Linked DNA regions of Ovis aries. The protein of the gene in region 1 interacts with the protein of each later gene in a biochemical or structural test. Links are inferred from orthologs where the notes say so. Each region holds a gene or a part of one and is shown on either strand. Other genes may lie near its edges.

Evidence for each region.
Region 2: the proteins of VDR (region 1) and HR form a complex in vitro, tested with the Homo sapiens proteins (2 studies listed by BioGRID and IntAct). The link is inferred for Ovis aries from reciprocal best matches to the Homo sapiens genes VDR and HR.

The regions. Positions count from the first base shown.
Region 1 is NC_056056.1:138,722,855-138,726,664, reverse strand, and holds part of VDR (vitamin D3 receptor), read right to left. Parts: intron 444-3,810; coding exon 259-443; intron 88-258; coding exon 1-87.
Region 2 is NC_056055.1:43,491,589-43,495,380, reverse strand, and holds the end of HR (lysine-specific demethylase hairless), read right to left. Parts: intron 2,804-3,792; coding exon 2,639-2,803; intron 2,228-2,638; coding exon 2,099-2,227; intron 1,960-2,098; coding exon 1,897-1,959; 3' UTR 676-1,896; downstream 1-675. UniProt on the Homo sapiens protein: Histone demethylase that specifically demethylates both mono- and dimethylated 'Lys-9' of histone H3. May act as a transcription regulator controlling hair biology (via targeting of collagens), neural activity, and cell cycle.

The DNA.
Region 1 (3,810 bases):
GGAGGAGGACGAGTTTCCAGAGAAGCTGGGAGTGAGTATCGACCTCGAAGCATGGTTCCCCTCGTCCTCATCCTTGCGAACTGGAGGCTGGAAGGGAAAGGAGGAGTGTCAGAAGCCCACATTAGAGGTCATCTTCTTCCCCCAGCCCTGGTCTTTTGTTTATAGGAGGGGCAGTCCTCCCCAGGGTCAGAGGGCAGAGCAGCTTCCAGCCCTCCCCAGGTGCTGTGCCCAGATCCCCTCGCCCTCCAGCTCACATACCCGGAACTGGCTGAAGTCGGAGTAGGTGTCATCGTAGGTCTTGTGGTGGGCGTCCAGCAGGGTGGTGATGATGCGCTGCTGCTCCTCCGACAGCTTCGGCCGCAGGCTGTCCTTCAAGGCCTCCTCCTCCTTCCGCTTGAGGATCATCTCCCGTTTCCGCTGCACCTCTTCATCAGTCAGGATGACTGTGGGGGTGCCGGAGGGGGGTGTCAGGAGGACGGGGCCTGCAGTGCCTCCAAGGAAAGTTCCTCCAGGTGTAGAGGCCCCAGATGGGAGGGGCTGGGCCCTGGCACTTGGAGCTCACCAGGCCATCCTGCCACGGGGACCCAAAGCCCATGATATGGATGGAAGAGTGGGTGCTGTATGTTGAAAAGGCAGGAGCATGAGAGAGGAGGAAACAGAGGATTTGGGAGGCAGGATGCTTGGGCATCATTAAGGAGACTGGGATCCCAAGAACAAGATGTCTGACTCTGAACAGAATGAACTCTCCAGGCTTCTGGTTGCTCATTTCTAAAATGAGGAGTTTGGACCATAGGATCTCTCCTAAGATCCCTTTTTGTCCCTTCTTCCAGGAAGCATGTGGTGTGGGGATCCTACCTCAAAGGACCAACTGCTTTGAGACCTGAATGCAGCCCAGCACAGAGCAGATGCTCACTCAGGGGGAGGGAGGGTGCAGGGTCCCAGTGTCAGAAGCTAGGAGATGCTGAGAAGACCCCTCTACGTGGTCATCCCCATGTAACTTTCCAGGCATGTGATCTACTCTGACCAATGTAGACAGACTTTGCCTCTTAGGTTCCTCCTAAGAGGAGGAACAAGCCCTCCTTCAGTCCTTCCAGTCTTGAAATTTCTGCCCAAGGAAGTTTTCCAGTCCTTCAGAAGTCCCTGAGGATAGATAGCAGCTCACAGCTCTATCTGGGAAGCTCTCTCCAGTGGCTAACCAGGGTGTCTGACTGCAGGGGCTCCAAGCCTCCCTGTGCTGGGTGACTGCCGGGAGGGTGGGGCCGGGAGCAGACCTGGCACACAGACCTCCCGGCCGGGGCTTGCAGAGCGCTGACGGCAGGAGTGGGCACTGGGGCCCTCGGCGTGTAGCTGCTTGCTCTGTGCTAGTCTTGCCAGGGCATCTGCCCACAGAACCGAGCGTTTCACAAGAGCAAGAAAAAGAACCAGAATGCCAGAGTGGGTGGCTTCTGGGCTTCAGGAAAGGCCCATGGGCCTTGGCCTCTCGGGTGGGGGTAGGACGAGAGAAGTGGGGGTGAGGGAAGGAGAGCCTGTGGTGGGTGTGAGTGGGCAGCGCAGGAAAGGGAAGCCGGTGGCGGAAGATGGCGCGTTCCCTCCAGAGCTGAGGTAAACCGTACCTAGAGGAAGACTGGGCGGAGGCCACGCCCAGGTTACTGACTCACCTGCCCAAAGAGCTGCCCGCCCTCCTCCCACAGAGGGTGTCAGTTCAGACCCCAAGAGATACAGCAGACGGGAGCGGGAAGGAGCAGGGAGCACCCCATTCAAGGCAGGGTGTGAGACGCTAGCCTGGGGAGCCCAAGATTAGGGACAGAGTCCTTCCTGTTCACCTGAGGGGCAGGCGCAGGACGCGATGAGGCTGGGCTTGGGGGGACGGCTCTGGCTGCCCACAGGGGTGCTTTTCAGCCCCACGGGGCTCTCATAATCCCCTGTGATCCTATGACGTCACTGTCCTGCTCAGAAACTTCTGAATCCTTCCTGCTTACCATGCCCCACGTGAAGCCAAGATTCTTGGTGATTTCCCTTCTTCCTAACTTTCCAACCTCACTGCCGGGGTCTTGACGCAGCAGCTGGTCTGGCTGCACTGGGGTTGCTGGCCTGTGAACAGGACCCGCTTCTACTGCCACTGCCATCTGCACGTTCCCCGTGCGCCATCTGCCTGTCCAGCTGGGCCTTCTCTCCCCAGTAGCCATGCAGATTTACCAGTTCCCCAGCACCCAGCTCACACCCTCTTGTACCACAAAGGCTTCTGTATTGCCCTGATCGGCAAGGAGCAGTTTTTCCCACACACATCAGCACCCGATCTTTTTTCACTCTGTCCCATCTATGGTTATAGGTTCCAATAAATACTTGCAATAGAGAGAGCCTAAGTTCAAGGTCTTCTTCACTAGAACTGCAGGGCATCTAAGGATGGGGGCTGCATCTTACAATGCCTATATCTCCCATGCCAAGGCTAGCCCAGTGGGGCATCCTCAGTGGTCTGATGCACTGGAAACCCAACATATCAGCATTGACTGTACCTACTGTGTGCTGGTCATCCTCTGGACGTGCACCAATGATGCCCATCCCCTACAATTTCAGGATGGCACGCTCCACCTACCAGTCCACCAGATCGCTGAGCAAAGTTTACATTTTCAAATACTTGTGACAAGTATTTTCAAGACAGAACCCCTTGTAACGGAGCACCTGCAACATCAGGTGACCTTTGCTTGATGGTTCAGAGGCATCGTTCTGAATAATTACTGGACTTTGCGGGAATAAGGCTATGACCTCAGAGCCATAGGGGTCTGTTTTTCTGCACTGTGTGACTCAGTCTGCCATGATTTTGAGTTCCTGTCTTACTCTTCCAACCAGTCTATCCTGCTGTCTTAGGCTATGTGATGTCTCTTCTTACTGGAGTGTACTTTTATCCTCCTTAACAGTTACTTCTAATCTTCTGGGAGCCAGAAACTCTGGTGATCAAGCGGTATGTCATTAAAAATGCCATTAATAAATACATTGTTAATAAAAATAAAGTTTTTTTTTTTTAATGTACCAAGCACTATTCCAAGTACTTCTTACATATTAACTCACATTATTTGGTCCTTATAATAACCCTTAAGGCAGATGCTGTTATCCTCATTTTACAGGTGAGGGAACCTGAGAGCCAGAGAGGCTATCAAGCTTGCTCAAAGTCACAGAGCAAACAGACAAGGCAGAGCTGGAGTCGGGTCTGAGCAGTCTGGTTCTAGAGGCCAGTGTCCTAACCACTACTCCGCACTGCCTATGACTATAATTGGCTGTGAATGCTCAGCCAGACTCTGGTCTTCAACTGTGGAGTCATGACACACAGGTGTTCTGATCCACCCAAAGAGTGTGCGAAAATAATGATTAAATAAAGTAGCAAGGCTTGTAAGTGATTTACGTTAAAAGGATAACGTTAAGAGATTTGAGGTTAACCTTATGGCATTTCTCCTCTCCGTCATTTCTAGCAAATAGCAACCATCACCCTGTTTGCAGTACCAGAGGAAGAGCCACTAAGGTCTGCTGGTTTCAGATGAAGGCTGCCAATCCATGGACCTCCCTGCAGGCAACGTTGGCAGGGGACTAGATAAGCTATAAGCCTCTCACATATGCAGATATTGTTGTGACTTATAAAATAGTTCATTTCCTTAAAGGGGTTGTTAATTTCATAGGATGCTTAGAAAATAATTTTCTCAATAAATTGCTACTAAAAATACCATTACTTTTGTGTAGGAGAACACTTTTTTTGTTGTTTGTTTTGTATGTTTTTTCAGCTCAAACAGTACAAATTTATTTTTCACTAGGAGGCACATT
Region 2 (3,792 bases), on another chromosome or scaffold:
AAACAGAATTAAATAATATCGACCCCAAAGTTATGATAAAAGGTTTCAATGAGATCAGTTAAAACACTGACACATCAAAGGCAGTAGTTCCTTAATTTTCTCTTCTTTTCCTATCCCAGGAAAAAAAATGAAAATAGCCTAGCCTTGCATACAAGGAAGAAATTGAATTATTTGGAAAAATGGGCAATGTTTATGTAAATCACTGCCAAGCCTAAAATAATACAAGTGACCATTTAAAATAAACTGGCTTCCCTGGTGGCTCAGTGGTAAAGAATCTGGAAGCAATGCAGGAGACTGGGGTTCGATCCCTGGGTCAGAAAGATCTGCTGGAGAAGGGAATGGCAACTCACTCCAGTATTCTTGCTTGGAGAATCCTATGGACAGAGGAGCCTGTGGACTACAGTCCATAGGATGGCAAAGAGTCGGACACAACTGGGCAACTAACACTTTCTTAAAACAAAGGTTAGAGAGCAACCCAGAAAATGATGATGATCAGTGTTAAAGAAAGAAACTTAATGCAAAACACCCCCAATTCAACCATGTGTAAAACAGATCCCTGGAGAAAAAAAAAACTAAAGGAAATACACCAACATAAGAGTGGTTGGATTGAAGGTGAGTAGAGATAAATAGTATACAGGTTTCTTTTTCTTATTTTCTAAAAGTTCTGAAAGTATATTAAATTTATAATAAAAAATTTTATTTCATAAAAAAAATAACATTCCCAGAACCACCGCAGGAACAATTGTAACAAGAGTCAGAGCGTGTTGAGGGTGAGAAATACAAGGAAGAGGGGAGGGATGGAGCCACACCAGAGGGCCCTAGGGGTGGGGAGGGACTGTCAGCTGTCTCCAGCACCAGCCAGTGGGCATGGGGCTGGCCATGGGCACCGACGGCAAAAGGCTGGTCAGGGGCTTTCTGGGGCCAGACTCCCAGAGCTCCAGTTCAGACAGGAAAGATGTTTGGCCTGAAGTTTGCAAGGTGAGTTAGGGCTTCTGGGGCTCTAGTGTCACACAGGGAGATGCCATGCTGCTGTGACGGAGACCTCCGCCTTGCCTGCTGTCAGGAGCATCCTCAAGGTCAGCCCCTCTTTGCTCCTCTGTGGGAGGGAGGGACACAGCGCCCTCCCCCACCCTAAGAAGAGCAGGCAGGGGTGTCTGAGGTCCCTGTCACCACTGCTTCAGCCCCCTCCCACCCTGCTCCAGTTCCAGGTGTCCCCCTCCCTCCCTGTCCACGTGGCCTGCAGGAGCAGGGCCAACCACAAGGCAGCATTCACAAAACAACAGCCTTTAATGGAAATCCAGAAGGAAGGAGGCAGAGGAGGGAGCAGGGATGGGGCCTCACCCATATCTGTCGCACCCTCCGGCCAAGCCTAGATGGTGACCTGAGGCCGTCCCCTCCCCACACTTCACAGCTCTGTGGCAGGAAGGCGGGATGTCAGTGACCCCTTGTCTAGCACACCTGCAGGGAGAAGGGCCTCTGGGAGCCCAGGAGGCTGTGGGTGGTATGAGCAGAGCTCAGACACAGGAGACAGCAGGAGGTGAAGCAGCAACAGAAGGTGTCGCTTAAGCCAGAATGATGTCTGAGGTCCCCCAGGGAAGGGCTGTTTGTCTGCTGGGTTGGGGGCAGGGGTTAGGAGACAATCACCCCCCAGTCTGGGTCTGATACTTGGAGAAGGGCTTAGGGGCAGAGCAAGTGCCAGTATGCAAAGGGCAGGTGTAAGCTTCAGTGGCACTGTGGTTGTTGGCATCAGGGCTCAGGTCAAGGGCAGGGAACGTGGTGCCTGCTTGTGTCCAGAGTGCGGAATTGATCCAAAGTCCCCAAGTTCCCCAGTGCCATTCTCTGCTGAAGCCATGCCTGCCCCTGACCTCCACCCCAGACACCTGGGACCTCCCACCCCTATTTAGCCTCTTGCAATGTTCCCACAGCCACCTTCACTGCTTGGAACACAGCCCAGTCCATCTAGGAGAAAGAGAGAGGACAAGGAGTTTACAGTCATGCCCCTGGGCTCACCCTGCCAAGAAGGCCCTCCCTGGACCCAGCTCTGTTTGATGGCGAAATTGGGCAGCACAACCAGGCTCCTGGCCAGTGTTCCACTCACCTGGGCATAAAGCAAGCGGTGGTCAGTGGGCAGGCTGGGCCCCTGGTGGCAGAGCTGAGCAGAGAGGGCAGAGGTCTCAGGGGACATGAAGTGCTGAGTGACGCTCACTGTGCTTACCAGGCCCTGCACCTGTGCCAGGGAGGAGACAGGTCGGGGGGGCGGTCAATGGAGACTCAGGGTGACGCATCCTGCCCCTCTGATCCCTGAGCTCTACTTCTGGTTAATGAGCCCCACCCAACCAGCTCTCAGAGAGCGGATGTCCTGGATCCAGCAAGGGGCACCACAAAGGGTGTGGCCAAAAGTAGGCCAAAGGGATGCCAGAGATGGTGCAGGCAGAGCAGACATCAAGGGATAAGCTTGATGCCCAGTAAGCTTGATGACTTCAAGACCACAGGATTCTCCTCTTCCCTCCAATGGAGGCATGACTTCCTGTTCTGCCTAGCTCCGCAGGAAAAACAGAGGGTGTAACAGCCTGGGGACTGCTTCTGATACTCTGAGCTCTCTGCAGAGAGCCCCCACTGGCACGCGCTGGGGAAGCACCTGGTGGGGAGCCCCCGCGGGCACCAGCACAGCTTCTCCGGGGGCCTGCAGCAGGGTCCAGCAGCTCACACCCCACTCCTCCCGCAGGCGCCGCCGCAGCCCTGCGTCCAGGTAGCACCTGCCAGGGGTACCAGGCTCCAGGTTTCCTGCCCCAGTGGGGCACACCTCAAAGAAGAGAAGGAGGGATGAGCAAGTGGAGTGGGGGAGAGGCTAGGGTAGGGCTGCAGGAAGATGGGGCGTGGGCTTCCCAAAGGCCAGAGACACAGGTAGGAGCTGTAGAGTCTTGAAGGGCAGGTCGGGGAGGATGTAGAGGTGACGGGGACAGGACCCGGGTACTGGGGCCTGGGGCCGCTTAGGCCAGCAAAGCAGAGATCTGGAAGATCAGAAGGAAGGATTAAGAGTCTGAGGCAGAGGGTCCAAATCTCTGCTTTTCCTGGGGATAGATGGCTTGAATAGCCTCTGTGTCTCTGGCCCTGGGCTCTCTGCTCCCTCCTCCAAAGGTACTCCGTTCTCCAAAACCCAGGAAGACATCCTGGAGAATCGCAACTCATAAACCGTCTATGCCAGGAGCTCTTAACTTGGTGGAGCTCTTAACTTGGTGGAATCCTGGGACATCCTGAACTGCATGCTAAAGTGGGTGAGTAGGTAGCCATATGTCCCTAGGAAGACAATTTGAAGCTTTCATCAGATTCTCCTAAGATCCCAGATCCAGACTCAGAAGTTCTGACTCTCAGTGGATGAACCTAGACTGTCTAGGCTGAGGCCTTTGAAGTAGGCAAAGCTTTGGGGGGCCTTTACCACCCCGCCCCTCTCCAACCAGAGTGGGGACCTCTTGTGCAGACGGGGGCTCATGGAGGCCAGGGGCCAGGGGAACCCAGCCTTGTGCTCCAGGTGCCCACCAGCTCCTTCCAAGCCCTTCAGTTAGGACCTCAGCCATTATCCCTGGGCTCAGGGTTCAGACATCCAAGACCCGGCTGATGAGTCAGGCTGGACCATAGGCTGGACTGTAGGGTAATCCCAGGCAGGTGCCAAGAAGTCCGACCTGGAATCTGAGCAGTGTTTCCCAGGCCTCTCAGTGAGGCTATGCCCCTCCGACCCTCCCCATGAATCATCGGCTTGGCCATTCAGGACTGCCCACATCCGGCCACACCCAG